4 linked regions of the Elephas maximus indicus genome follow. The protein of the gene in region 3 purifies or fractionates together with the protein of the main gene of each other region. This does not show direct contact. Links are inferred from orthologs where the notes say so. Each region holds a gene or a part of one and is shown on either strand. Other genes may lie near its edges. The genes, in order: FOXO3, BRINP1, SIRT1 and HIC1.

What was found.
Region 1: the proteins of SIRT1 (region 3) and FOXO3 purify together in Homo sapiens (affinity purification with western blotting; 4 studies listed by BioGRID and IntAct, with this or other methods). This does not show direct contact. The link is inferred for Elephas maximus indicus from reciprocal best matches to the Homo sapiens genes SIRT1 and FOXO3.
Region 2: the proteins of SIRT1 (region 3) and BRINP1 purify together in Homo sapiens (affinity purification with western blotting; 6 studies listed by BioGRID and IntAct, with this or other methods). This does not show direct contact. The link is inferred for Elephas maximus indicus from reciprocal best matches to the Homo sapiens genes SIRT1 and BRINP1.
Region 4: the proteins of SIRT1 (region 3) and HIC1 purify together in Homo sapiens (affinity purification with western blotting; 4 studies listed by BioGRID and IntAct, with this or other methods). This does not show direct contact. The link is inferred for Elephas maximus indicus from reciprocal best matches to the Homo sapiens genes SIRT1 and HIC1.

What each region holds. Positions count from the first base shown.
Region 1 is NC_064819.1:174,355,935-174,363,007, reverse strand, and holds the start of FOXO3 (forkhead box protein O3), read right to left. Parts: upstream 3,015-7,073; 5' UTR 2,906-3,014; coding exon 2,288-2,905; intron 1-2,287. UniProt on the Homo sapiens protein: Transcriptional activator that recognizes and binds to the DNA sequence 5'-[AG]TAAA[TC]A-3' and regulates different processes, such as apoptosis and autophagy.
Region 2 is NC_064827.1:69,193,985-69,201,964, forward strand, and holds the start of BRINP1 (BMP/retinoic acid-inducible neural-specific protein 1), read right to left. Parts: upstream 3,006-7,980; 5' UTR 2,922-3,005; intron 1-2,921. UniProt on the Homo sapiens protein: Plays a role in neurogenesis and brain development. May suppress cell cycle progression in postmitotic neurons by inhibiting G1/S transition.
Region 3 is NC_064834.1:19,952,010-19,959,849, reverse strand, and holds the start of SIRT1 (NAD-dependent protein deacetylase sirtuin-1), read left to right. Parts: upstream 1-4,825; 5' UTR 4,826-4,902; coding exon 4,903-5,335; intron 5,336-6,727; coding exon 6,728-6,844; intron 6,845-7,840. UniProt on the Homo sapiens protein: NAD-dependent protein deacetylase that links transcriptional regulation directly to intracellular energetics and participates in the coordination of several separated cellular functions such as cell cycle, response to DNA damage, metabolism, apoptosis and autophagy.
Region 4 is NC_064837.1:19,699,646-19,706,487, reverse strand, and holds HIC1 (hypermethylated in cancer 1 protein), read left to right. Parts: upstream 1-3,951; 5' UTR 3,952-4,098; coding exon 4,099-4,135; intron 4,136-4,464; coding exon 4,465-6,632; 3' UTR 6,633-6,833; downstream 6,834-6,842. Other genes in the region: collagen alpha-1(I) chain-like, read left to right, coding at 1,431-2,042, 2,784-3,569, 3,830-3,951. UniProt on the Homo sapiens protein: Transcriptional repressor. Recognizes and binds to the consensus sequence '5-[CG]NG[CG]GGGCA[CA]CC-3'. May act as a tumor suppressor. Involved in development of head, face, limbs and ventral body wall.

The sequences.
Region 1 (7,073 bases), on a different chromosome or scaffold from region 3:
TCTTCAAGGATTAGTTGCCACATGACACTGACAAAATAAACTGGTATAAAATTTTAAAATAAAAATAATCAAGTGTGTCTTCTATTAAACATACCGAGCCCTGAGAATTTCAATTGACAATACTTTCTAAGGTTTTAAAGAGAGATGAGAAGGAAAGGAAGGAAAAATAAAACCATGAGACAAAAAAGAAAAATGGTTATGACATAAAATCACAAAGTTTATGACTAGCCCCAAATCTCTTGCAAATCCTGCCAGCTATGTGAAAATATAACGAGTCAAGTCCAAATTAATGGCTACTTTGCTAATACCGCTTTCTCTCGTAAAACGTCTAAAAAATCAAACACTATTGAACTATTATTATCTTAAACACAATAGTAAGAAATGTTATTTGAAAAATTAAATTACCTTCATAATCTTAAAAATCATAGAAAAGGTGGCAACCCTTTCTACATTAACTTTTTAACCAAGTTAAAAGTTATCTAAACTTTTAACTAACACAGTCTCTGTGCCAAATTCAAAACATGCAGGACTAAATTTCAAGGGTGGAAAATCTGAAAAATACGTATTCCAAACCTCCAGATTCATCTTCTGAGATCATGTAAACTCGCCCCATCCAGACATTGTACATTGAGATTAATCCCTGCCATCCACTGGGAAATCCAGCTTTAACAGGTATCTCATTAGCACTGCTTTGAAATGGAACTCTCACCCTTTCTGTAAACGAACTTCATATCACAAAACAGGCATTTCTTTGTAAAGCAATAAAATGAGATCGAATATAAGATTCATAACATATCAATTTCTGTTAAAAGAAATAAAGCAGATTTGTGAAATAATATAAAACACACATTTAGCTTTTAAGGTATGTAAACAAGGCCTCTCCAATACTAGCCATAAAAAAAAAAAAAAGGCACTTTGCAAGGTTTTTCTAAAACTAAATTCAAACCTTTAGTGCACCGAATTCTTAAGCTTTTTCATAGTCTCCTCTCAAGAATTTCAAGTCACTTTTCTACCAAGGTTAAACTGTTCTTATTTTAGACACCTACTGGAACCCAGGAAGATACAGGACTCCCCAAAGATAATGAAAGGAAAGCCAGAAAAAGGAAGCAACTACCTCTTTATTAAAACATAAAAAAGACATAATATTACAAATAGAAGCACCTAATAAGCGACATCTATCTCTAACTATACAAAAGTCTCTTTTGCCTGGTAGCAACACATTCATATCTTGGGGGAAGGGGCCAAGAAGGGTGGGGTGCCCAGGAAGAGCAAAGAAGCTGGATATCAGCAGCCCAGCAGGGGCAAAGGAGTTAATCTCTTTGGATGCCCAACTGCAGGAAGTCATTACATCATAGGTCTTTCCACACCTCTCTCCCTACCACGTGTCCGGTGCCCCAAGAGGCTGAAAAGGAACAAGAGAGTCTCTGTTCAGGTTCACTTATAGGCAGAAGCCATGACCGCCCAGTCCTGACACCAAACCTCCCTCCCCTCCTCCGGCCTAGGCGAAGCACAGGCCAAGGTCCTCCACACCTGGGCACATAACACACACAGCGCCAGCATCCAGGCCTCAGCAGGAGAGGCAGGTGCGGCCAATTTGCGCTGAAGTGGCAGGGCTGGCCCTTTCCAAGCCCCAGAACATTTGGGAGCCTACCCGGGGACAGGCTTGCTGAAGTGTCAACCCAAGCAAAGAAACGATGCCTGGTCAGGAAAAGATTTGAATCGTTGCTTTTTTTAACGGGATCGATGTGCCTGTGGAAATAACACCCATAAACCCCGAACTTCGACCCAAAGGTTCTCAGGCAGCCACTGACAACGCACCATGCTCCTACGGCCCACTGGAAACCACACATCCAACCGCTCCTCCACGGACAGGTCCCCATACGCTCCCCCACGCCCCTACACACCAACGGCAGCGTCGGAGCAGCACCCACCTCCGATTAGCTCCATTCCAAAGTTGGCGCGGACTTACCTCCTCTGCGCTGTCCCGGAATGCAGCAAACGCACTCCAGTCAGTCTGTCCTACACTCGCCGGCGTCCCAGGCCCCCTTCTCACCTGGTCGGCCATGCCCAAGGCTTCCCCGGTTGCCTCCTTCCCTTCCTCCGCGGCCGTCCCCCGGTATCTCTCCTCCAGAAGTCACACAGCAACCCCCAAAGCCTCGCAGCGGAGGCTCCCACTGCCAACCCTTTTCCCTGGCGCCCAGAGGCGCGCTCCGACGAACCTGAGGCTAGTCTCGTGCGGCGCAGGACGCCCTGCGGGTCCAGCAGCCCGCTCCGGGTGGGTACTCACCTTCCAACCCGCCGAGCTGTTGCTATCGCCCTTATCCTTGAAGTAGGGCACGCAGCGCACCATCCACTCGTAGATCTGGGACAGGGTGAGCCGCTTGTCCGGAGAGCTCTCGATGGCGCGGGTGATCAGATCAGCGTAGGACAGGTTCCCCCAAGCGTTCCGGCGCGACGAGCATTTCCTCGGTTGCCCGGAGCCCCCAGCCGCCCCCGGCTGCGGCGGTGGCAGCGGCTGCTGAGGCTGCAGCGGCGTCTGCATCCCCCCGCTCAGCGCGCCCGCCGCGGGGGCTTGCCCGGACCCAGGGTCCTGCCCTCCGGGAGCCAGCAGCCTAGCCGGGTCCTCAAGAAGCAGCCCCGAGCCCAGCGTGCCGCTCTCGCCGCCGCCGATCGCCATGGCCGAGCCGGCCCCACCGCCGCCGTCCTCCTCGTCTTCATCGTCGTCCTCCTCGGGGATCATGGAATCGGCGGCCGCCTCCCCCGAGGGCTTGGCCGGGCTCGCCTGGAGCTCCGGCCTCTGCAAGGGCCACGTACAGGAGCGCGGCCGGCTCTGGGGCTCGAACTCAGGGTCCAGCTCCACTTCCAGCGGCGAAAGCAGGGTCGGGGAGGCCGGTGCCTCTGCCATCTTCGCCGCCCGCCCGCCCGCGGCTCGGGCTCTCGCGCTCTCTTCTTTCGCCGGGGCGGGGTGCGGCGGGGGAGGGACCGGGGCGCCGCGAAGGCTCGGGCTCCGGGCGCCGCCGCCGCTGCCGCCGCCGCCGCCGCCGCCTGGGGAAGCACTAGAGAAGAGAAGAGAACTGGTTATCTCGGGCCGGAGCCGAGTCCTCCGTGAGTCCTCGCCCGCCGCCGCCTACCGGACGGCACCGCGCCCGCCTCCCAGCAGCAGGCAGACCTGGAGACCTGCGTCCCAAGAACCTGGCGCAGCAGACACCGCCCCCTGGTCTGGCCGCGGAAGAGACGTGAGCGAATCGACGGGCGCGCACGGGGCAGCCCCCTCCCCCGCCGCCCGATCCGCAGGTCTCTCCAGGGCTAGGTGGCGGGGCGGGGAAGACGGGGGGGCGGGCGCGGGGGAGGGGCGCGGGCCGCGCCTTTAAAGCGGGCAGCGGCGGGAGCTGGCGCAGCCGAGCCGCGGTCGGAGCCCGGGCCGGGGCGGGCGTGCGTTTGTTTATGTTTCGCTCGGGCCCGCTCAAGTGCCTCCCGCGGTGGCGCCGCCAAAGTCTGTGGCGTCTTCGGCTCTTCTCCCCTTCCCCAGCCCTGCCGCCTCCGCCATCCCTCTAATATCCCACACCCAGCGGAGGGACCTAAGCCCAGGGACAGCGCGGGCAGCTCCTTTCTCCCCCTTCGCCCGCAGGCCGGGAGGGCGGATGGGGGTTCGAGCGCAAGCGGGCCCTTGTTACTTCAGGAAAAAAAAAGGGGGGGGGACAAGAAGCTTGGCGTGTGTTCGCAATGGGTCGAGCAGGGCAGGAACGGCCATTCCGAGGTTTTGTGGTTTATTTTCCCGTGGACGCCGTGTCCTCCGCCCCTCTCCCCCCAAGGAAAGAGGAAGGAGGGAGCAAATCGGAGCATAAATCTTCCAACAGGTCGGGAAGCGCTTCGAGAAAACCCGGACCAGCCTGTTCATCACCTCCTTGCTCCCGCTGCTGCCATCTTGACAGTTTTTCTCCCTTCACTCAAGTCCTTTAAAAAGACTAGCGGGAGAGGGGAGCTGCACACACCGAGTCACAGAGAGGGAAAAGGGAAGCGCCTGGCCCAGCTCGGAAGCAGATCCGGAGTCATCGGGAAGGCGGCCGCCCCGTTGCACTGCTCCGGCGCCTACCTCGGTTCCTTCCCTTCAGGGACAAGGCGGGAGGACGCACAATCCCGCGCGGGCTCGGGGCACAGCGAGGAGGAGGCGCGCAGCCTCGGCGAAGGGGAGACGTTCCGGCCGCCGCCGCAACCCGCCTGAGGAGCCGCCTGTCAGCCTGCCCGCCGCCGCCTTCCACATTCCTCCTCCTCCTTTCCAACGAGCAGGGCGGCCGCGGCAGCAGCACAAAGTTATAGACACACGCAGGGCGCCTCAACCTAGGCTGACGGCGGGCGGGCGGATCCCCGCCCAGGGGGAGGGCTGGGGCGGCGGGCCGGGGTGTGCTGGTGTGCGCGTGTGTGTGTGTGTGTGTGTGTGTAGCGTGTGTGTGTTCGCGCGCGCGCGCGCCCGCGCGGCCTGGCCCCGTGGGGCTGCGGGCGTGGGTGTCGCGGCGCGCGCCGCGGGGCGGGGAACGGCGGGCTCCCGCAGCGATCTCTGCGGGACTCTAGCTCCCTCTCCGGAGCCGTAAGGACAACAAAGCGAAAAGAACCCTAAACCCTCCACAGACCGCAGTCGCGTGGTCTCCTAAGCTCGGGCCAGGGCGCCTGGCACCGGGGGTCCCCGGAATGCATGCCCACTCTCCGGGCTCTGGGCCCATCCTGGTATCCGGTTCCCCATTAGAACGGGACACCAGGTAATACCCGAGATGTTAAACGCAGATGGCCAGGATTACCTCGACGTGGAAATACTGGCAAGCGCAGATGTTAGTGCCTACAGGACTTCGATAAACTTGACGCCCTCAGATTTGATCAGAAACCAGAAGGTTTTCAAGGAGTATGACCTTGGACTTTCCGCCACAATCGTTTTTCACTTTTAATAGATTTCATGACAAACAGGGGGACGTAGAATTAACTCAGAAAGAAAAGCAAATTATTCCCCATTTCTGAACGCAAGAGCAGATTCTGAACAATAGCGAATGGGAAATAATTTGATTTTAATTTTTGAATGACGTCAAAACAGCTACTATGCATTTGTTTTTACTTCTTAAAAAGATAATCCTTTAGATTTAGAAGAACATCTTCACAAGACCTTACCCTACGTCCCGTGCCCAAATCGTTCATTTGTGCATTATTAAGAACGCACTAAATGCAACATGCACACAAAAAGTCTATCCGCTCAGGTTCACAAATATCTTTTTTCCTTATATAAAATCCTTCTAAATCACTGGAGATTATTTGAGAGACTAGGACTCCACAAGAACTCGACACACAGAAGGGCCAATCATGCGTACACAAGAGTCCGCCCATCGGGACAACTCCGGGCTCCGGGCTTTGCGCAGGGCCTGTCAGTCAAGTGACGCGCGGCTCCGCCACTGCACCAAGCTAGTTCGACGCGTACAAACAGATGATGTCATTGTATCCACACGCGCGTGACCCGGAGCTCTGCGCCGCGCCGCCATTCGCTGGGCCGCTTACCCGTCAAGCTATACAGCGCGCTGACTGGCCGCGGCCAGCAGTCTCCAGGCCCCAGAGCCTCTCCGCCTCTCCGCCCCCGCCCCCCAACAAATAATAAACAATCGAGTAAAATTCTAAGGAAGGGAGGAAGGACGGGAGGAGAGGAGAAAAAGAGGGCGAGCCAGAAGCCAATCCTCGGCGTGCTGATGAAGCCTGGGTTAAAAGGGGGAAAGTGAGAGGACGAGGGACTGAGGGGAGGGAGAAAACCTGGGGCAACGGGTCCCGCCGCGGTGAGTAGGTGCCGGGAAAGAAAAGTTCGGAGAGCACTCCGCTGTGTGCGCCTAGAAGTCCGGGGGACGCTAGGGCCCCGGAGCGTCCGGGGAGGGGCGGTACGCGGCCCACGGAGGGGGTGGAAACTGAGCAGCGCCGCGACGGCGCGGGCGGAGCCAGCCGACACGTGCGGGAGGAGGGCGGGCGCGCGCTGCGCTGCCTCGCCCGGGGCGCGCAGCGCCTTTAGCCGCGCGCGCTTGTTTACCAGCGCACGTGGGTGTTATTTTTAAATGGAATGTTGCGCTGGCTGCTCAGTAAAGTGGCTGGCTCGTGGGTCCGCCCGCGCTCATTGGGGGACGCGGCGGGGCCAGCTCGCCGGGCCGCAAAGCTGTACCCACTCAGCGCTTCCAGCGCAGCTGGAGGCCTGGGTTGGTTAGGGAGCCTGACGCCGAGTTTCGCGTGCTGCTCCGGCAGCGACGGAGACGACGTCTTTCCACCGCGCCAAGCTGTCTTTCTGCGTTCGGGCTCGGCTACTGCTTTTGTATTGTGGAATCAAAGCCGCCTGCTTTTCTTCGTTCCGGATGCCGCGCCAGGCCGGGCATCGCGGCCCATCGGTTCCGGAGCAGATCTCGCTCGTACGCTTACATCTTGATGCACACACTTCGGTGCCGAGGTGGACTCAGCGTTGTTTGTGCCCTCGCTCCCTAGCTCCGACTACCCCCAGTCCACATGTACCCATCTCGTAGGCATACGGCTCTGCCCACGGCAGAATGCGTTCCTGCTACATAAAACGGTCTTCAGACAAGGGGAAACCCGTGGGATAGGGCTTTAACTGTACCCAGAAGTTGCTGGTGTGCCTGCAGCTCCACTCACCTTGTGGGCATGCTTCCCTGAGAAGCCCGCGGTTTGCATTTGGTTTCCAGCCTGGCAATATGGACAGTGATGTGTGACCCCAACTTTCAACTTAAGGTGGCCGAGCTCTGGGGCTTAGTGGGTTCACAACATATTACCTGGTGTCTTTATTTAGATTTGCAAGAACCAGGAGGCTAGATGGCCCGTGGTTCCCATGGTTTTGCACCGTGATACAGCATAAAATCTAAAGAACTTTCAGTTGCTTGTTTTAAATACTTAGGAATACACTAAAAGAAACCCACGCTTTATCTTCAAATTTAAGTAATCCTTTGCCAATAGAATGTAGGCCTGCAGACTAAAAAGAATGTGTTTACACTGGCTGGGCTCTCTGCCATTCGTTTTTCCCTATAAACACGATGAGTGTCCATTTACAGAAT
Region 2 (7,980 bases), on a different chromosome or scaffold from region 3:
CTCTGGAGTTAGGGGTCTCCACCTTCATGTGCGTGATAGCTTTATACGAGGGAACACAATTTGGTGCGGAGGTTGCGATTTTCTTTTGGAGAATACAGCAAGTAGGAAAGGCTTCTGGGTCTACACTGGTATATGTGTGTTTGAGTGCACGTATACATGTGTCGTTGTTCATTCTCCTGTGCTTGTAATATGTATAAACAGGTAAGGCCGAGATTCTAATTAATATAAAGAAATTAATTTGCCTGAAGTCTTTGCATAGGTGGATGGGTGCACACTTTGCTTTCTGGAAAACCTGCCTTAATAAAGAGCTCAGATAAAGCTCAGAGCATTTCCTGGGTTCCATCTACCAGTTGTAGTCAGTATTGGGTCCCTGCCTGGATGCGATGCTCTGAAGGCATTGGTGAAAGAATGCCTGTTCAGTGTGTGTGTGTGTGTGTGTGTGTGTGTGTGTGTGTACTGTGTGTGTATCTAATGAGGAGAGGGGTGGAAGCACTGGACCCTTTCTCTTCACGGCCACATTTCCAGGTGGAGAAGCTTTGAAACACATCTCTGAAATGAGAAGTTGTGTGAGGTAAGACAAGTGATTGTCTTGGGTGGAAGTGTGGTGGTGGGGTCCGAGCTAGTAGCAACATATAGACCCTGGGCAGAGTGGAGGAGTGGAAAGGACATTGACCTGGCTGTCAGGCAACCTAGGTTCTAGCCCTAGGCATGCCACCAACTCACTAGAGAATACTAGGGAATTTTTATCCCCTCTCTGGGCCCCAGAGTCCTGCCTGTCTGCTCTTTAATATTCCTTCCAGCTTCAATTGTCTATGAATTGAAAAAGAGAGAAAACGAAAACAGCTCCCAACATGGGGCCTCCTTCTCTGCTCCTACCCAAAATGAGCTAGGGAGCTCTGCTCTGACATGAGTTTCCAGAAGCAGGTTCCCCGTGGCTGTCTGAAGGGCTTCAGCCTGAAGTATCAGCCTCTGGCCAGAGACCTGTGTGTCTGCAAGCGAACGCAGGTAGCACCACCACCCACTCGTCAGGGCAGATTCCTGCAAACACATGTTTGCTTTTATCTCTCCCCAGAAGATATATATATATACACACACACACACACAGATTTTGAAAGCCAAGTATATTTTTACCTTTTTCCCCCAAATGGCCTTTTCACTGGTCTTTTCAAGCTCAGGCAGACAAGAGGCTGAGCCTCAACATCTCAGCCCTTGTCCTCCCAGCACCTCGCTGCCTGAGAGCAGAAAGGCTGTCTCTTACCTTGGGAAAGTAACAGCTGCCGAGTCTGGAAGCCATGCTAACAGCAGTAAAACTCAGCATTTCTGCTGAGTAGGACAAGCCTTTAAGTGGCAGCCGGGAATCAAATCAATGGCTGGCCACAAGTCTAAGCCCAAGATAGGTCCTAGCCAGGATGGCCAAGGGACTTACCTATACAGCTTCCTAGTAGGTGGAGAAAAGGGGGCCTTGGTCTGAACTGTCCTCATGACTATGAGATTCTGCCTGCAGCCCCTGTGCCCTTGGCAGTGTTTTAGAGCCAAGCAAGAGATGGGAAGTGCATCCTGACAGCAGTTTAAGTCAAATTACTGACATCTTCTGCCATGGGTTCCCTACTCATAACCCCTTCCCAAACTGGAGGTCTCCCTCAAAACACATACACATACACACACACACACAAATATATGCCACCTCTCTGCCTGCCTTCTCCCAGTATCCTCCTAAGTCCAGTGGAACCATGGTTGGGGTGGGGGTTGGGGGGCACAGTTTAGGAAGGGATTATCTGGGGTGTCTCAAGCCTGCCTGAAATGGGGAAAGGAAGGTGGAATCTGTCTTAGGGAAGTGCCCCATCCATCTCCTCCCATAATACCCAGAGCTGCCCTCAAATGAAATTTCCTTTTGAGACTCTGGGCAACTACAATGGATGGGCAAGTCCCCTAGGACTCTTTCCTTTCCCTTGAGGGGGATCATGCAAACTTGTCCAGATCTTCCCAAAAAGCCCCAGGAGCAGGAGGTGCTGTCATGCTGCTGCTATTACAAACCGGAGGCAGGGCAGATTCTATCTCAGTCCTGCCAAGGCCCAGATAAGGACTCCACTGCCGACTTCTCCCTTTCTCTGTTACCCACTACCCACTGTCTAAATTCCCATTAGAATCCTGGAGTCTGACCAGTGTGGAATTTAAAGCGACAGCATCTCATATGCCTCAGGGTTTGGCCATTTCTCTTTCATATTAAACCACATTAAACGATGGGTTCAAGTGTAGCAGGACTCCATCCTTTGGGGGAATTTTCCTTCAAGGGGACCAACATTGGGCTAAATAAGGTGTCATTCCTATCCCCCAAATCCTCCCCAAGTCCAGAGCCCCTTGAGGAAGTCCACAGCGGGTTTCCCGATGGCTACGTGATCCTATAGTAAGGATCCCAGGCCGCGTAAGCCGAAGAGACCTAATTAAAAAGGCACACAAGCGCACATATGCAAACACATACATACGTACAAACGCGCACACACACTCACGCTGTAAGTAGGTTATAGGACCTTTCTCCTCATCCCTTCTCTTTCACACACACACACACACCCCACAAACACAGCCACCAAACGCAAACGAGGCCGCACAAGCAAACACACACTAGCACCACACCAAGTTCCCACCAGGCACACACGTCGGGAGAGCGCGGGGCGGGGGGGTGGCGGGGACCACACAGGCCACTTACTAAAACCCGCATTTAACCCTTTGCGTCCCAGAGAAAAGAGACAACCCCCCACCCCGGAAACTGAGAGGACTTGGAGGCGGCGGGGAGGGGGGGAGCAGAGCGGACTAGGGTGCCTGGAGGGGGAGGGGCTGGGGCGGGCGGGGGCTCCCCGAATGCGGTCCAGGGCCGGCTCCAAGGGCAGCTGGGCTGCCGGGCGCTGAGCCCGGCGCCGCCTTACCTGGAGTCAATGTCCGTCTTTGGCGGAGAGCTGCGGGCAGACGCTTTTTATTCGGCTCGGTGGGAAGTTGGGAGAGCCCTGCGTCCAGCTCGCATACCGGGGACGGCGCGGGGACTGCAGGCGCGGGGGTACCTGGCTCCTAGCAGCCTGGCTCATACTCAGCCGTAAAGTCCCCTTCGCTGGCCCCGAGGACAGGCATGAATGCCGGCTCCGGAAGGCGGTCACTACTCCCTCTGCCTCCCGGCTCTCTCGTTCTGGCTCGCTCGCTCTCGCCCTCGCGCTCGTTCGCTCGCCTGCGCTCTCCTCCTCCCCCCGCGCCAGATCAGTTCGCAGCGGTGGGGACCCGGAGCGAGGCGGCTGGCGAATGGAGAGGGAAGTCCAAGTGCGCCGCGGTCTCCGGGAGGGGAGCAGCGGAGGCCGGGCTAGGCGGGGGGAGGGACTTACCCGGCGACGGGCGAAAATGAATGGGGGAGCGGCGGCCGGGGGCGGGGAGGGAGGAGCCGAGCGCCGGGGTTTATTCTGAGGAGTGTTTTGTACATCTTTAGGCGAAGGAGGAGAAGAGAGAGGAGGGGAGAAAGGAGGCTGTCTTGGAGGAGAGGGACGCCCTGGGTGGGCTGAGGCTGAGCCATTGGGGAGTCTCGTAGGTCCGGGGATGGGGTGGCGTGTCTCCGCGTATGTGCACCTAAAGGGGCTGTGTATGTGCGCAAACCCGAAATCGTAGTGGCCTTAGGCGTGTCTGCAGCTGTGTGTGTCGCGAGCCATCTGAATGTTTCTGGGTATGCGGGTACTTGTGTGGCTGTGTATCTGAGTGTGATTTTTGTCTTGGGAAGTGCCTGTGTGGGCCCGTTTGTATATGTGTGTCTCAGTATTTGATACTGTTTCTCTGCGTGTGTAGGCGCGAGCCCACGTAACCTCCTCGAGTTAAGCAAGTGCTTCTCTTTACGTGGGCAGAACGTAGGAGTGAGAAGCTGAGGGCACGCAAAGTTCTCTGGAGACCACCAGAGGCAGGGAAGAGGCAGGGCAAGGGGGCTCAGCCATGAGTACGAAGAGTCAAGGAGTACGGATTCAATGTGAAATACTGCCCGAGGGTGCTGACAGGGAGCCTCTTCCTGAATCGGGAAAGAAGGCCCACACAGGACCTGAAGTCCCACAGACTGCATATCCTGTATATGTGCTTACTGTTTTCTTTTTTGTTTAAACCAAATCAGCAATGCAGACCCCTAGTCCCTTGAAGTTTAGGCAAAAGTGAAACTGCCAGATGCAAGGGCAGGGAGGGATATGGAAAAAAATGATGGGAACTTTAAAGAAAGGCAGGTTGAGTAACAGTGCTGGCTCCAGAGGATTTGGAATCCTGTAGCTATGTGATCTTGCCCCTGGTAGCGGTGACCCTGGTGGCGCAGTGGTTAAGAACTCAGCTGTTAACCAAAATGTTGGCAGTTTGAATCCACCAGGCATTATGGGGCAATTCTGCTCTGTCTTACAGGGTCACTATGAGTCAGAATCCACTGAAGGGCAACGGGTTTGTTTGTTTGCTTGCTTTTTAACCCTCAATTCCTCATCCGTATGATACGAAAATACAACTACCTATCTAATGGGGTTGATCTGAGATTTAAGTGAGTTAATGCATGTAAAAGCACTTAGAATACTCTCTGGCACTTAGTAAACGCTCGATACGTGTTCTGTTATGATGGCTGTTGTTATTAATGCTATTATTATCCAAAGGATTATAGGAAAGAGAAGACGTGATAACCAAAGGACTTAAAAAGATCTAGGAGGCAGTGAACTAATTGGAGAAGAGGAGTCTTGAAACCAAACAGAGAGAGAGAGAGAGAGAAAGTGCCTGTGTCTCAAGAGTCCTTGGATGAAGAGAGGGGGAAGAGGAGAAATGGGGGCCAGCAGCCAGTTCTCTTCTGAATTCCTCTCTGCTTATCCTCTCCACTTTGATGCAAATGAGAGGGAATCAGCACCACGGACAGCTCTCCAGCCTGGGCGGATGGAACTTTCTCCTGTTTTGCCTGGGCCATTTTCTCCTCTCAGCTCCTGGCCCAGGTTTCAGATCCTAGGCAGTAGTTCCTGGGGCAGTTCTAACTTTGATTCCAGCCACGAAGAAACACACTCACCACATACATTGATTCTCCCATCAATTTCAATATGAAGCTCTAAGGTTGTTATTTCCTATTTCTGCCTCCCTCCTTTCTTCTTTCCTCTTCCTCTCTGTCTCTCTCTACCCCCTCCCTTTCTTCATTCCTCCCTCCCTTTCTTTCTATTTCTCCACCATCTCCCAGCTCAGACCTGCCTCCTTGGACAGTAGTAGGCAACAACAGCCATGATAGGAATGCAGTTCTGAAAATAGCCTGAAACCACCTAGTTAGAAAGCTTCAGAGAAGGACCAAGGTACAGACTGATTCATCTGAGCTCCTCTCTCTTAACCTCCCAATATGGGTTAGGGTCCAGATACCTTAGAAAGAGAAGACTTAATACTGTAAAACAGTTTCTTATCTTCCTCTCCCCTACCTCACACAGTCAATATTTCCCTCAGGAAACATAGAACTCTTCCCAACTCCAAATGTTAAAGAGAAAGAGAAAAAGGAGAGAATTTTTTTAACTTCCACCGTGCCTGAACATTTAAGCTTTCCCTATATTGCATATTATTATTTGTACAATGCTACGAGATATAAGATGGATAATACTATACCATTTTTACATAATAGGAAATTGGAGCTTGGAAAACTTGAGTAGCATGCCAAGGTACAGCTAGTAGGTGACGGAGTCAGGAATTCCATACCTGACACTGATTCTTTACTGTGTCCTCTGGGCATATTAGAGAAAGCCCGGAGTGATTGCAAGATCATGGAATTTAGTAGGATCACAGTGCCCAATCCTAAATATTAACTTGAGTAGCTGGAGCCATTGCATTCTCTGCACCAATGGAGTATTTAGCAGCTCTTGTCCCTGGAGGAGGAGATGAAGGATTTGCGTAGACAGATTTAAGGCTCACCCGAGTCTTATGGTTTCTGAGTTTTGACTAAAACTCCAACCTTTCCAGGTCTTAGTTCATTTGCATTTGGCTCTGTTTAGCTTCCCTGTTTCTATGTAGAAAGGCTAAGAGGGCCATTAAAAAAGTCTCCAAAGACTCCTTGGTCATCAGAAAAGTTCTCAGTGTGAAGTATTCCTAATGACTTATGGAGAAAGCAATTCGTACCATATGGATAACATTTCTGCAGAAATACACACGGGTGGGAAAAGGTTTAGAGGCCAAAAATATATTTCTTTTTTTTTTTTTTTTTTCTTCTTTGCCAAAGAAAGAACATTTAAGGCAGCTTGAGATATGTGAGAAATGTCTTGTTCTTTCTTTGGGGTGGGTGTTGGTGAGCAGCTGTTTGCTATTTCCACTGAATTTACCAAGAGCTTGCCTGGGAAGGAGTTGCCAATGGCTTAAGGTAGACTTAAGAAAGAACTTCCTGTCTATAGACAGATACTAGAACAGTACCTTTTTTCAAGTGCATTTAATGAGGCAACTGGTTGTTTCCTTTATAGTCTCCACAACAGGATGAGTTTGATAAACATTAGATCGACATTTTAGGATCACAGACTCTTTTGAGAACCTTATGATTACTATAGACCTCTCTCTAGTGAAAAAGGTATTTACAAAAATGCCCACAATATACTGTATGGAATTCCATTGAATCCCTGCATGCCAGTATTATTTATGAGTCTCTCCCTAGACCTCAGATTTGGAAACTTTAGAGTAGATAACCTTCTGGTCTCCAACCTTACCTTGGATTTTATAGGTTGTTTCATTTAGACTTGAGCTTAAGAAATTGGAAAAGGGAAGCCAATAGGGAAATCCATAAGCAGGTAAGTAGCCCAGTTCTAGAAACACACAAGAAATACAGATACATGCTCAGTGATGTGATGGAGGGGCCATCCCCTCCTCTTTAAATAAAGATAAGATTCACCCTGTTTGTGCAGAACTCTGAGTTACCTGCTGCTGCCTCAAAGGCTTAAGTTTACCACTCCTGTCAAATCTCAAAAAAAAAAGAAAAGAAAAAACCACTGCCATCAACTCAATTCTGACTCATAGCAACTCTACAGGACAGAGTAGAACTGCCCAGTAGGGTTTCCAAGGCTGTAAATCTTTATAGAAGCAGACTGCCATATCTTTCTCCCTCAGAGTAGCTAGTGAATTCGAACCACCAACTTTCAGTTAGCAGCCCACCGCTTAACTGCTGTGCCACCCAGGCCCCTCTGTCAAATCTCAAAGGAATTAAGATGCCTTAATCTGGGGTGCTTTGGGTTCAGAACAAGCTAAACAGCTGCAGAAAAAAAGCCCGCATTTATTGAGTGCCTACCAAATGTCAGATGATGTGAAAAATTCTGAGATGAATGTTTTTCCTGGTCTCTGACTTCTAGGAGACTGGAGTTCATTGCATAGCCAGACTTGTGCCTAAATAATCACAGGCACCGTAGAATGTAAACGTCATGAACAGGGCCTGTAGGAAATGTTGCGAAAGCTGACAGGAGGAAAAACTTGTCTCTATGTGATATGTAACGTTTGGTACTTAATAAGAGCTCTTAAAAAAAAAAATCAAGTTGAATTAAAAGAACTAATATTTATTGTTGAAATCTCTGGGGTAAGCAAACGGTTAAGTGCTTGACTACTAGCCAAAAGGTTCGAGGTTCAAGAACGTGCCTCAGAAGGCTTAGTGATATGCTTTGGAAAGTTCACAGCCTTGAAAACCTTAACAAGACATTTGACTCTGCACACATGGGGTCGCCATGAGTTGGAATTGACTTAAGAGCAACTAAGGAAAATAACAGTATTTATTGGGTACTTATTATGAGTGAGCAGCATTCAACCCTTCAATGTCTCTCATCTAGGTTATGAGTATTTCCTAAATGAACAAAAACGCCTTTTCGTTTTTCCCTTCCACCTCCTCACCTACTCCCCTATTCTCCACTCCCAACTCGCCCTACCCTCACTCCATCCCAACCTTGCAAGGGCCATACGCTTAGAACTCAGTTCTCATCCATCACTCTACTTATCAAAAACCTGGAA
Region 3 (7,840 bases):
ACCCAGGGTCTAGCCTCCGCCCTGTAGTTGCAAATATTGGTTACTCCTTTAATTAAAAAAAAAAAAAAAAACCTCATTTTAATATGTCCAATTTTAACAAGAAATATTTATAAATGTCTCTTCAACTCACCTGTCTTAGTATCTAGTGCTGTTATAACAGAAACACCAGAAGTAGACGGCTTTAACAAACAAATTTATTCTCTCATAGTTTAGTAAGTTAGAAATCTGAATTCCGGGCGTCAGCTCTAGGGGAAGGCTTTCTCTCTGTCGGATCTGGAGGAAGGTCTTTCTCATCAATCTTCCCCTGGTCTAGGAGCTTCTCAGAGCAGGGACCCCAGATCCAAAGGACACACTCTGCTCCTGGCACTACTTTCTTGGTGGTATGAGGTCTCCCTCTTCTTTGCTCCCTTTTTTCTTTTATATATCAAAAGAGATCGACTCAAGATACAACCTAATCTTATAGATTGAATCCTGCTTCATTAACATAACTGCTTCTAATCCTGCCTCATTAACAGTATAGAGGTAGGATTTATAACCCATAGGAAAATCAGATGACAAAATGGTGGACAATCACATAATACTGGGAATCAGGGCTTAGCCAAATATACACACAATTTTAGGGGATATGATTCAATCCATAACACCTCCCATCCATACACACTCTCTCCATTAAGGGATGTTAAAATGTTAGCATTTTGATATGTAACTTTCCATATTTTTCCCAAGCCTATGCAGTCATATAAAAAAAAAATAATAATAATTTTTTTTGTTTTTTTTATGCAGTCATATTTGCTTATAGGTTTTTTTTTTTTAAATAAGAAAAGGACATAAAAAGGGATATTTATTAAATAATAAAAAGACCATAATATACCATTACTGTGCATCTTGCTTTTGTCACCCATAGTGTATCATAAATATTCCTCAACAGCAGTTTACAAATGTTACAAATATTTTTAATGGTTGCATACTATTCCACAGTATGTGTGCACTGGAACTCGATCAAGTTTCCTATGGATAGGTGTCTGGATTGTTTTTTGACTTTTATTCCAGCAACAACAATGCCACAATAAACATTTATATCCTTACATATTCATAATTTTTTTTCCTTAAGATAAATATTTTCCACATGGGATTTTGGATTGAAATGTACGTGTGTATTTATAATATTTTCAGATTACTTTCCAACACTATAACAGCAATTTATGAGCATGTTTTCCCATATCCTGGTTAGCAGCAGACAGTAATAATTTTTTTTTCTATTTGAGGAGGTGAAAAATCATACCCCATTGTTTTAATTGCATACTCCCGACTACTAATAGGGTTGAGCATATTTTACATTTGTATGTAGTCAAATGTATCTGTCTAGTTATTTTAATGGTTCCTGTCTTGCTTATGTTCTTGCTTGACCCAAAGCTACATAAATATTCTCCTAAAATGTCTTACGATATTTTTATTGTCGTATTTTTTTCATTTAGACCTTCAACCCATCTGGAATTTATTTTTTAATATAGTGTTAGGTAGGGATCTACATTCGTATTCTTCCAGATTGATAATCTGTTTTTCCAATACCATTTTATTCATACACAAAGAGTTGGCACCAACTACCCTACTAACCGTAATCAGTCAAGACTAATATCAAAGCTACAAGGCCAATTTACCAGTTTACAGAAAAAGGACTGCCAAGTCAGCCAGAATATTAATGTGGGCTCTCTGCACATTTTCTCCTCAGTGGAAAATACTATATGTAAAGTCCTTCCCTGGAGAAGGACATCATGCTTGGTAAAGTAGAGAGCCAGCAAAAAAAGGAAGACCCTCAACAAGATGGATTGACACAGTGGCTGCAACAGTGGGCTCAAGCATAACAGTGATTGTGAGGATGGTGCAGGACTGGGCAGTGTTTCATTCTGTTGTACACAGGGTTGTCGTGAGTCGGAACCAACTTGAAAGCACCTAACAACAACAATAAAGCCAAATTACTACTGAAGGCTGCTCAGGCGTCTTAGGGTTAGAGTCGAATAATCTTAATAACTAGTGTCAGAAGTCTATGACAGCCCAATGCATCTATCTCTGCCTTGTCAACTAAGGTGCCAGATCTTATGTCATCAGTTTTACTAACTCTCTTACCTGAACTGTGCTGGGGACGAACTGAGAAGTTCCTTGTCTTGCTTCTTGCTTCTTTTTCTAGTATCCATGTTGACCACCACCCTTCATTCAGTAATTCTTTTTCTTTATGGGAATCTTCATTTTGACTCTTTATTCATTTTTGTATGCTTTTCCTCATTCATCCAACAAAAATATGTGCCAGTTACTGTCCTAGAGAGTTGATAATCGAGAGGTAAACCAGATGAACAAAATTCCTGCTGTAATTGGGGAAGACAGTAAATAACACATATAAAGAAAAGAAAAAAGTTTAATAAGGTAGGATAATATACTCTATAACGTATGAAGAGGTAGTAGGGCACAATGGTTAAGTGCTCGACTGCTAACTGAAAGGTTGGCTGTTCGAACCCACTCAGGAACACCTCAGGAGAAAGGCCTGGTGATTTGTTTCTATAAAGATTACATCCAGGAAAATCCTATGCAGGAGTTCTGCTCTGTCACATGGGGTCACTGGGGATTGGAATTGACTCGATGGCATCCAACAACATTCTAGGGACAGAAAACCAAAACCAAATCAAACCTAGTGCCATCAATTCAATTCCAACTCATAGCGAACCTATAGGACAGGGTAGAACTGCTCCATAGAGTATCCAAGGAGTGCCTAGTGGATTTGAACTGCCAGCCTTTTGGTTAGCAGTCGTAGCACTTAACCACTACACCACCAGAGTTTCCTCTAGGGACAGAGGCACAGGGAAAAGTGTAACAAATATGTGGCAGATATGTATTTAAGAAGTGCCTCCAGAATTATTTTATACATACATAAACAAACAGGTAAATACAGTCTCCCTCCCACAGTCCACTCCCTTCATACACTATACTGTATACACTGTTCTGTATCTTGCACTGTGCAGCTTAGAGATCATTCCACATGAGAACTTAGAGTTGTTCCTCATTTTTTTAATGCTTCTTATGAAAGCTCAATTTAGAGTACACTAATGATAAAAAATAATTACAAGAAGGGCAAGGCCAGATTTACGCGAGAAGCTGAAAAACTGAATCTAAACTTGCAGGCTATAGGGATTAGGGAATGACCTGAGTTTTAGGCAAGTTTTAGTTCTCAACTATGGGTAGGTCAGGCTCTAGTTGGGAGTTGTTTTTTCTCATCATACAATTCTGTTTCTTGCTTATCCCTCTGGCACGCATAACTCATCTCTGGCCTTTCAGCACACTAGCCATCATATTGATCACAAAGCATTTCTTGTAATTCATAAACACTAGCAAGTGTCTTTGATGGATGATAAATACAAATAAATGAATGAATAACATATGTCCATAAACTTACAAATATCTTTTTCAAAATAAAATGGTGAATTTTGTTTCTATTTCGATGAGAAAACAATTCTCAACATTTTACATGTTATATCCTACGTGGTTGAGAATCAATTTATTAAATACTTTGTAGGGTACCACAGACGAAGTGGGGAGTGAACAGGGCTAAGGATGCCAGCTAGGAAGGGTGAGGTGCTTACACAGTTAGAAACTGGAGTTTAAGATGGAAGGAAAGACAACAGGATTTGGTCACTGGTTAGAGTGGACTGAAGAAAAACTTAAAAATGATTTCAAGGTTTCAAAAATGTGAGGTTATCATTTTAAAAAAGTGAAATGACCAGTTGAAAGGGGAGATTCTCAGGTTAATTTGAAATACTAAGACTTTTGGATTTAGATGGAATCTTGGCCTCTGCTGCTGACGTCAAAATCTAACTATGAGGGACGTCCACCAAGTTTGAAAACGTGGTCAAGCCTTCCTTCTCAGACCACTGTTAAAAGGTAAAAAGCCTGAAGTCTAAAGATTGGGACTCTGACCCTTGAATTAAAATTGTAATTGTTAATTCCGATTCTCTGGTTCTAAATGAGTATCTTGAGGTCTTCCATGCCTTGCCATGACTACCTTGCAATAAACTGAGTTTATGCACGATAATCTTAAGCATTTCTTCATTCACCTTTAAAATTAAAGCTCACAAGGCAAATGTCCAGAAGGACACATGCCTTTACGGATTTGACAATCTACACGACTCCACAAGTGATTGGGGGACAGGGGGACAACTGACAAAGGAGGGAGCCAAACCAAAAAACCCGTTGCCGTCCAGTCCAGTGGATTCCCGACTCATCGGGACCGGAGGAGAACACGAACCCAAAGAGGAACTGTCAGAACAGTGTGAGGGAGCTTCTGTGTCCTGCTGCTGCTACTCTTACCCAAAAACAAAACAAACGACTATCCATAGTATCTCAGGGAGGAAAGCTTTAGGCAGCTTCATTCCTTCTCCTATCTCAGGAACCAGATTTTAACTCAGCTAAATGAGACAGGACTAGGACAGCCAAGGTGTGCACTTCCAGCATTGGCGTAAACGCGCAGGGGAAGCAACCCTGGAGCCATCGGACCGCATTGCCTTCGGAAGGCCGTTTGAAAGAGGAGCTGAGAAGGTGGCGAAGGGGCGAGCTCGGCCGCACCACGCGCCTGCCGCCGAGAGGCGGGGCCGCGGGCTGCCGGGCTGCGTCGCTCCGGGCCCACGCCGAGCCGGGAAGGCGGACGCACGGCCCCGGCCTCCGCCCGCCACGTGACCAGCCGTGTTGTGGTCCGGCCCGCGTGGGTGGCGGGAGCTGGCGGGAGGGCGGGGGCGGCGAGGGGGCGGGTCACGTGACGGGGTTTAAATCTCCCGCAGCCGGAGCCGCGGGGGCGCCAGTGCCGCGCGCCGAGCGGGAGGAGAGCAGGCGAGGAGGGAGGGCCAGAGAGGCAGTTGGAAGATGGCGGACGAGGCGGCGCTCGCCCTTCAGCCCGGCAGCTCCCCCTCGGCGGCGGCGGCGGCGGCGGCCGAAAAGGAGGCCGTGTCGCCGCCCGCCGGAGAGCCGCTCCGGAAGAGGCCGCGAAGAGACGGCCCCGGCCTCGGCCGGAGCCCGGGAGAGCCCGGCGGAGCGGCCCCGGAGCGTGAGGTTCCGGCGGCGGCCGGGGGCTGCTCTGCGGCGCCGCCGTGGCGGGAGGCGGCGGCGGCGGGCGAGGAGCGGGAGGCCCAGGCGGCGGCCGTGGCGGCTCCGGCGACCGGAGAAGACAATGGGCTAGGCCTGCAGGGCCTATCCCGGGAGCCGCCACCGGCCGACGACTTCGACGACGACGACGACGACGACGGCGAGGAGGAGGAGGAGGAGGAGGAGGCAGCGGCGGCGGCGATTGGGTACCGAGGTGCGCAAGGGCGCGGGCCGCCGGGACTGCGCATCCCCTCCTCCCTCCTGCGGGGCCCCTCCTGGCGTGGGTTCGCGGGGTCTCTGGGGCCGGGCCGGGGCGGGGGGCGCCTCTGCGGCGGAGTCTCCCTCCCCAGCTCGCTTTTCCGCTCAGCTGCGCAGCCCCAGGGCAGCCGGCCCGGCTGCGGGAGCGATCCGCAGGCTCGCGGGCTCGCTGGCTGCCTCCTCCCTCCCGCTCCCCTCTGTCTGCGGCTCGCCAGGCGGCCCCGTGCTTTGCGCAGCCGCTGGGCCGGGAAACTCTTGCAATTGGTTTTAAAATAAGTTTTCTTCCCCCTCCTACTGTTTTTGCATACTGCTTTTGTTAAAGACTTTTGCTTTTCGTCCGCCTTCCCCAGCACACTTAAGTCTGCAACTTTTGCCTGTCCCATTGATCGACCTTTGCCATTGCCTTTGCAACCGGACACCTGTTCAGTTTACCTTTTTTTTTTTCAGGGTCTGTATTATTAAACTTAAAGTTTTACGTTTTAAAGAGGAAAGCTGTTTCTAAAGGTATAGCATGTAAAATATAAAGAACATGGCTGTTGCTAAAGACGTTACTCGAGTGGTGCAGTTAATAATGGGCATGGAAAGTAATAGTACTTTGAGTTTTTTTTTTATAAATATTGTTTTTTCTGTAATGATCTAATAATGATTTTTAGAGGAGGTATAATCCCTGTGTGTGTGTGTAATCCTGACATGAAAATTGGCATTTTTGGCACCCTGAAGCAGATATGTTAGGTGTATAAATCGTGTCATCCATGAGGGTTTCAATATTTTTGATCTGAGGAGTTTCTGTTTTGGATGGTGGTTCATTTGTATCAATATTTTAATTAAGTCCAGTGGCTCATATGTAAATTAACGTGTGCATTAAGGACTAGATTAGTAAAACAACCCCCGATATCAAGGAATTTACAGTTTAGCAGGGGAAACACAATACACAGATGTCTTTCTACGTTTGGTGTTATTGAAAGGGTTAGAAACGCAAATTGCAGCAGTTAACATTTAAAGTTTTTTGTAGTAAATTTCTATTTGATAATTTTTCATAAACGCTGTTATTTGTGATTGACAATTTAACTAGATCACTGCTTTTTTTGTTCTGTTTTTTCTTAAGTGGGCTCAATTTATTTCTAGATTTTGATGGACAAACTTAGATTCTGGGTAGCAGCCCTGAAGATGAGGGTACTTCTCCTTTGAAAGGTGTGGGCGGACCTGATAGGCATTCTTTACACACATGGTATGAATGTTTAAGTGCTGCGTTAAATGAACGTCATTGCCTCATAGCCATTATAGGTCTTAATACATTTTTGGTGCAGGCTGTTTCAGCACCCTTCAGTTACTTTTGCTTCTTTTGCAGATAACCTTCTATTCAGTGATGAAATTATCACCAATGGCTTTCATTCTTGTGAAAGTGATGAGGACGATAGAGCCTCACATGCAAGCTCTAGCGACTGGACCCCAAGGCCACGGATAGGTATGATTTCAAAGCTCTGCAGCTTTAGAGACAAAATGCTTTTTATTGTCTTGTATTTTCATTTTATGAGAACTAAAAATTTAATTCTCTGCCCCCTTATGCCCTCATGATGAGGTTCTTGGGAGCTTGGTGAGATTTAATGTCAGCTTAGGGACAGCTTGAAGGTCCTTGGATGGTGCACATGGTTTGTGCTGAGCTACTGACTGAAAGGTACCCAGCAGCTCCAAGGGAGAAAGACTTGGTGATCTGCTTCCCTAAAGATTGCAGCCAAGAAAACCCTATGGGGCTCAGTTCCACTCTAATACATAGGGTCGCCATGAGTCAGGATTGGGCTAGAGACAGTCTAGGGAAAGTTAGTGATTTTGTTTTTGTTACTGAACAGCTCAGGCCCCTGGAAGCTGGCCTTTTTGCTGTTTCTCACACAGCCAGGTCCTTCTCACTCCTCAGGCCCTTTGCATTTGTGTCTTCTGCCTGGAATGTGCTTTCTCCAGGTAAATAGAGGGTCTTGCTTGCTCCCTTACTTCTTTTTAGCTTTTGCTCAGAAAGCATATCATGAGTGAGGCAGACCCTGACCACACTATCTAAAATTGACACTCCTCCATCTCCTACTGCCCAGCCAATCCCCTTCATATCATTTCTTTAATTTTTTTCTTCTTAAAGACTTCTTGAGAAACTGTGTGTCTTACTTGTTTGTCTTTTTTATTACCTGTTTACTGTGCTAGAATATAAGCTGCACGGGGACAGGGATTTTTGACTGACTTGTATGCTACTATTTTGTTAAGTTCCAGGCCTAGAAAAGTACCTGGTACATAGTATGTGTTCAAATATTTATTAAATAGGTGAATGAAATGGGAAAGTATTTTGAAGTCGAGAATGTTAACAGATTTTTATAATAAAGACATAATATACCCCGTCTTGAAAGTGGTCTTTTTCTTAATGTGCTCTCCTTCTTTCAAAAGTGGCTTGACTAAACACAGCGATGATTAGTTCCTTTTT
Region 4 (6,842 bases), on a different chromosome or scaffold from region 3:
CGTCACATGATGGCCCACGGTGGCGTCACACCCCGCGAGACCACTGCGGTGCTGTCACCCTCGCATCCTTGGGAGCTGGACCCGGGGAGGGGCCCAGGGCGCAGTTGGGGCTGTGCGTGGGGAGTGGCAGGGGGTAGAAGAATAGGGGAACCCAGTAGTCTTGAAGAGCTTTGGTGGAGAAGGCTGGGCCTGGGAGGGGATGCCCAACGGGGTTCTAGGTACCACTTAGGAGCTGGCGACCTAAAGAAAGCAGAGAAGTTGAGGAGCTTTGGTTCAGAGGGGTCTCAGGGGGTGGAGAGGCAGTGACCTCTTCCTGTAGGAGTTAGGGTTCTTGGAGGTCATTATTGGGAGAAGGGCCCATGCCATGTGGGGCAGAGTTCCTCTGGAGGGATGGTGGTGGTGAATGGTCCTGGTCCAGCCTAGCTCCATCGCTAAAGGAAGGCTCTAAAAGAAGGAAGAGGAGTGTGTTCAGAGAGAGAGGAACTGGACTAGGGTGGGGAGAGGCAGCAGATACTGGTCAGGCCAGAGCAGGTGGATCTGGGACGGGAAGGAATGGCCTAAGCACAGGAAGAGCAAAGTCCACAGGACCCAGAGGGGGCCCTGACGCTGCAGCTGCCCTGGGGGCAGGGCTGTGAGACCCTCCCATACAGATGCAATGACAGCTTGAGGTAGTGAATTTACTTGGGGTGAACCGAAGCACGTTCAACCAAGAAAGTGCTGAAAGACAAAGATGTAGGGACAGCGGACCCTGGGGTAGGTCCCAGTGGACTCCACTGCACAAAAAGACATAGGAGGATGAAGGGCTCCTTGCCAAGAAAAGATTAAAACAGAGAGGGGGTCGGAGAGTCCCTGCATAGCCTTGGGATCTGGCCTCCTAGAGTCCCCATTTGTTGCCGCTAGCTTTTGTCCCAGCAGCTCTCTTCTCCAGGAACGCCTTTCCACCTGCTGGGAGAACTCCTATTCATCCTTCAAAGCCTAGCTCTAAGAGCACTTATTCTGAAGAGCCTTCCCGCCTCCCTCCAACACTCCAAACAGTTCCATCTCAGTCCACAGCACGTTCCCTGGATGAGGTATCTGGGTTCATCTCCCGCAGAGGCTGGGAGCTCTGGAACCTACTGTTTTCATCCTTGGGGTCTATTTCCCAAGTGAGGACATTGTGAGGAGATGGAGGAGAGGACAGGGATGAGTCCAGCTGGTCGGAAACAGGGTGAAGGGTGGCCTCAGGACTCGGCGGGCGTCAGGTGGACCTGCGAGGACCAAGAGCTGCCCGACTGGCAGGCACTAAAGCCGTGAAGCCGCCTGTGGAAGGAATGGAGACTCTGGGGGGCGCCCGAGACCTTGGTGTCTGTTTGGAATTTCGAGTGGCAGCGCCAGTGGCCCCTAGCTAGGTGACTCAGCCACTACTTGTGGCGGGGGCCTGGGGGCCGCAGCCGAGGACTATGCGGGGGGCGGCAAATGCGGACCCCGCCAGCCTAGCGGCCGAGCGCTGTTGCTAAGCTCTTCGAGGCCTCGGAGAGACGCGATCTGGGCGAATCTCATCGGTTACTATGGTAACGCTGCGCCCCAGCCTCTCAAGCTCGGCCGCTGGGGGAGGCGCAGCCAATCAAAAGCGGCGGGCGTTCTCGGGGACCCCCCCTCCCCCCGCGTGTGGGCGGGGGTCAGGAGGTGCAGGGAGGGGGCGGAGCGTGGGCCGGGGAGATTCGGCGCTCGCAATAAGCCGGGTGCAGCTGCCGGGCCGCTCGGGGACACTTCCGGAGTAGTCGAGCTAGCGCCCGCAGGCCACTGCGGTGTCCCCTCCGTCCCAGAAGGGGCGTCACCTGCACGAACGGGACCTCCACGCGTAGTGCAGGACCTCAGGCCCTCCTGTCACTTTTCTCCCGGCTCCGTGGGTTGGAAAAGAGGTCGTCCAAGCAGGGTCCCTCAGAATGGCTCACGCGAGAATCTGGGGGCGGGGGCCACTCCTGAAGGACCCCAAGAGACGCTGTCCCGCCATTCCCAGCTGAGTATCCTGGGGCTCCCCTGGAGACCCGCGGGCTGTTTGGGTAACACCTCTGCCCAGATTCACGGAAGGCCCTATGCAGCAACCCCTGGAGTATCTCAAGCAGGAATCCAGACTCTGGGAGGGGGCGGGTGTGTCTGTGCATAGATAAACGCCCCGCGGGTGTCAATGTCTGAAGAGGTTCTGGGTGCGAAAGGGTTTATACTGTGGCTGAGTGTGGGCGTTTTGGGGTGTCCAAGTGGACAGTCTCATCCAGCAATGTCTAAGGAGCGTCCTTAGGATCAGACCCCCTTAGGATTTCCGTAACTCCTCTCCCACCACCCAATGTCATCAGAGTCCCCTCCTTGCGGGCGGGAGTTTTCCAAATTGGTGCCGTATGGTAATACAGAACTATGTACACGGGAGCGATGTACCCTAGTCCTTCTGAGTTCAAAACCCCGGGATCTGTGGGCCTCCTAGGGTCGGGTCTGTGTCCCTAGGTGGGCTGGGAGCGTGGACTTGCAGGTAGGCCCCCCCTCCCCAGAGGCGTAGCGAGGGTAACCAGTAGCCAGGAGCAGTCTCTAAGCTTGCGCCCCCCACCCCCACCCCGCGCCGGCTTCCTCCTCCGGGGTCGGGGGTGATTCGCCGGCAGGCCTCGTCTGGCGCCCCCTAGGACTTGCGCCCGGGGGCAAATACATCCCTCTAACCCCGCTTCGCTAAGCCTCTGTCCCTCCCCCGCCCAGCTCGGTATCCGAGAGCCTACAGCCCAGGTGAGCCGCAGGGAGGTAGAGGTTGTGCTCGGCAGATCCTCAAGAGGCCGCCAGGTGGCGCCATGGCCGCAGCAGCGCCTACCGGCCCGGGCCGCTCCAGATAAGAGTGTGCGGAAAGCGCAGCGGGGCTGAGACGCGACCAGGACGCGGGGAGGACGGACCAGCAGGACAAACCGACCGGGGGCCCGGCGGGCGGAGCGCAGCGCAGCGCAGCCACGTCCCCCCTGGATCCGCCGGCAGCCGGGCCCGGGGCTTCAGACATGCCCCCCAGGTGGGTCCCTGGGCTGGGGTCCGGGCGGGACGGGGAACCGGGGACAGCCCGGTCCCCAAGCGCTGGCCGCCTCGGGGCGCATCCTCCGCAGGAGCCCCATCGCGGCTGGCGTTCTGGGCTCCGGATGTCGCCCCTAGAGGACTCAGGACCACCAGTCGCTCCTCCGCTCCGGGTTCACGGCGGGGTCAGCGGCCCGGGGCCGGCTCTGCCCGCACATGGGCTGGAGAGGCTAGGGGAAGGGAAGGGGAGCTGGCGGGCGGGGCTGGCAGGGGCGCTGCCCTGGCACAGCTCGGCGCCTGGCAGTGGGGCGGGTGGGGCGCCAGCGAGGAGCTGCCACCACCGCGGGGAGGGAAGCCCGGCCAGGCTGCGGGCGCAGGTAACGGGCCGCCAGGCCCTGCGGGGCAGGCGGGGAACAGGGGTGGGCCGGCGGGCGAACGGGTAGGGGAGCTCAGGGCTCGGTCGAGCCGCGCGGCTAGGGCGGCCGCCGGAATTGGGGGCCGAAAAGAAAAGCCGGGAGCCGAGGGACTGGGGCTGGCGGGCTACTCCCGCCGTGTTTGAAGTTGGGAAACTTTTCCCCAAGTTTGGGGCGGTGGAGTTCCCGGGGAGAAGGGGCCGAGGGGAGTTGGGGAGGGAGGCCCCGGGCCCGCGAATGCAGAGCAGAGGACGAGGCCAGGGCCGTGATGCGGGTGGGGCGCAGGCCGGGGTCAGGGCCGCAGCCGGCTGCGCGCCGTGCCCGCCCGGGGCGCTGCCCCCTCCCTCCCTTGGGAGCTGCGTGGCTCCCCCCTCCCCCCCACCTGCTTCCTGCCTCAGCCTCCTGCCCCGATATAACGCCCTCCCCGCGCCGGGGCCCGGCCTTCGCGCTCTGCCCGCCACGGCAGCCGCTGCCTCCGCTCCCCGCGCCCGGCCGCTGCCCGGGCCCATCCAAGGCCTGACAGCCCCGGGTCAGGGTGGCGCCACGGCGGGCACCGCACTCCCCTGCTCTGGATCACTTCCCCCAAATGGGGCAACTTCTCCCGAGGCGGGAGGCGCTTCCTACTCAGCTCCCTTTCTCCCCACTTGGGCAAACTTCTCGGCCCTGAATGACTTTTCCTGAAGCGGACATTTTCCTCAAATCGGGTAACTGTCTCTGAAAGGGTCACTTCGTTCCCAACAGTCTTCTCCTCGGAAGCACCCAGCACCCAGCTCGTGCCCTGTGGCGTCTGGGCCTGGGGCGCGCCGGCCAGCCTGGCCTTTCTCAACCTGTGGCAGCTCCGTCTTTTGGCTCGGCCTGTCGGCCCAGGCTCCCACTCCCAGAGGCCGCTGATCCTCCGCCAGTGCCCAGGCTGCGGTGCTCGATGCCCCAGCCCAACTGAGGGGAAGGGGAAGTGGAGGGGAGTATCGCAGGTCTGGGTAGAGGCGGCCAGGGCGCAGCACGGCTCTGACCCGGCTGGTGTGTGTCCCTGCAGGAGATTGTGCTGGGCAGACGATGCTGGACACGATGGAGGCGCCGGGCCACTCGAGGCAGCTGCTACTGCAGCTCAACAACCAGCGCACCAAGGGCTTCTTGTGCGACGTGATCATCGTGGTGCAGAACGCCCTCTTCCGCGCGCACAAGAACGTGCTGGCGGCCAGCAGCGCCTACCTCAAGTCCCTGGTGGTGCATGACAACCTGCTCAACCTGGACCACGACATGGTGAGCCCAGCCGTGTTCCGCCTGGTGCTGGACTTCATCTACACCGGCCGCCTGACGGATGGCGCTGAGGCAGCGGCGGCCGCGGCCGTGGCCCCAGGGACTGAGCCGAGCCTGGGTGCCGTGCTGGCTGCAGCCAGCTACCTGCAGATCCCCGACCTCGTGGCGCTGTGCAAGAAGCGCCTCAAGCGTCACGGCAAGTACTGCCACCTGCGGGGCGGCGGCGGCGGCGGCGGCGGCTACGCGCCTTACGGACGGCCGGGCCGGGGCCTGCGCGCCGCCACGCCAGTCATCCAGGCCTGCTACTCGTCCCCAGCCGGGCCTCCGCCGCCCCCCGCCGCCGAGCCGCCGTCAGGCCCTGAGGCTGCGGTGAACACGCACTGCGCAGAGCTGTACGCTTCAGGCCCCGGCCCGGCCGCCGCGCTCTGCGCCCCCGAGCGTCGTTGCTCCCCGCTCTGCGGCCTGGACCTGTCCAAGAAGAGTCCGCCGGGCTCTGCGATCCCCGAGAGGCCGTCGGGCGAGCGCGAGCTGCCCCCGCGCCCAGACAGCCCTCCTGGTGCCGGCCCCGCCGCCTACAAGGAGCCACCTCTTGCCCTGCCGCCGCTGCCACCGCTGCCCTTCCAGAAGCTGGAGGAGGCTGCACCCCCTCCGGACCCGTTCCGTAGCAGCAGCGGCAGCCCGGGACCCGAGCCTCCCCCCGGCCGCCCCGACGGGCCCAGCCTCCTCTATCGCTGGATGAAGCACGAGCCGGGCCTGGGCAGTTACGGCGACGAGCTGGTCCGGGGACGGGGCTCGCCGGGAGAGCGCTGTGAGGACCGCGGTGGGGATGCTGCCGTCTCGCCCGGGGGGCCCCCGCTCGGCCTAGCGCCGCCGCCGCGCTATCCGGGAAGCCTGGACGGGCCAGGCGCAGGCGGCGACGGCGACGATTACAAGAGCAGCAGCGAAGAGACGGGCAGCAGTGAGGACCCCAGCCCTCCCGGCGGCCACCTCGAGGGCTACCCATGCCCGCACTTGGCGTATGGCGAGCCGGAGAGCTTCGGTGACAACCTGTACGTGTGCATCCCATGCGGCAAGGGCTTCCCCAGCTCGGAGCAGCTTAATGCGCACGTGGAGGCGCACGTGGAGGAGGAGGAGGCGCTGTATGGCCGGGCCGAGGCGGCTGAGGTGGCTGCCGGGGCCGCCGGCCTAGGGCCCCCTTTTGGAGGCAGCGGGGACAAAGTCGCTGGGACTCCGGGCGGTCTGGGCGAGCTGCTGCGGCCGTACCGCTGCGCGTCGTGCGACAAGAGTTATAAGGATCCGGCTACGCTGCGGCAGCACGAGAAGACGCACTGGCTGACCCGGCCATATCCGTGCACTATCTGCGGGAAGAAGTTCACGCAGCGCGGGACCATGACGCGCCACATGCGCAGCCATCTGGGCCTCAAGCCTTTCGCGTGCGACGCGTGCGGCATGCGCTTCACGCGCCAGTACCGCCTCACCGAGCACATGCGCATTCATTCGGGCGAGAAGCCCTACGAGTGCCAGGTGTGCGGCGGCAAGTTCGCACAGCAACGCAACCTCATCAGCCACATGAAGATGCACGCCGTAGGTGGCGCGGCGGGAGCAGCGGGGGCGCTGGCAGGCCTGGGGGGGCTGCCCGGAGTCCCAGGCCCCGATGGCAAGGGCAAGCTGGATTTTCCTGAGGGCGTCTTTGCTGTGGCTCGCCTCACCGCTGAACAGCTGAGCCTGAAGCAGCAGGACAAGGCGGCCGCGGCCGAGCTGCTGGCGCAGACTACGCACTTCCTGCACGACCCCAAGGTGGCGCTCGAGAGCCTCTACCCGCTGGCCAAGTTCACTGCCGAGCTGGGCCTCAGCCCGGACAAGGCGGCGGAGGTGCTGAGCCAGGGCGCGCACCTGGCCGCCGGACCCGACGGCCGGACCATCGACCGTTTCTCTCCCACCTAGGGCGCCCTGCGCCGAACCGCCTTTGTTCCGCCGCCGCTGGGCCCGGTTCGCGCCCCCAGGGAGCTGCGGCGGAGGCGGCGGCGGCAGCGAGCAGGCACACCGCGCCCCAAACAGCTGTAGTAGCAGCGGCAGCGTCGCCCGCAGAGGCGGCGGCCCCACCTCTCTGCGGCCTCACCTGCCCTCACTGCTTTGTGCCTTAGCCCGGGGGTG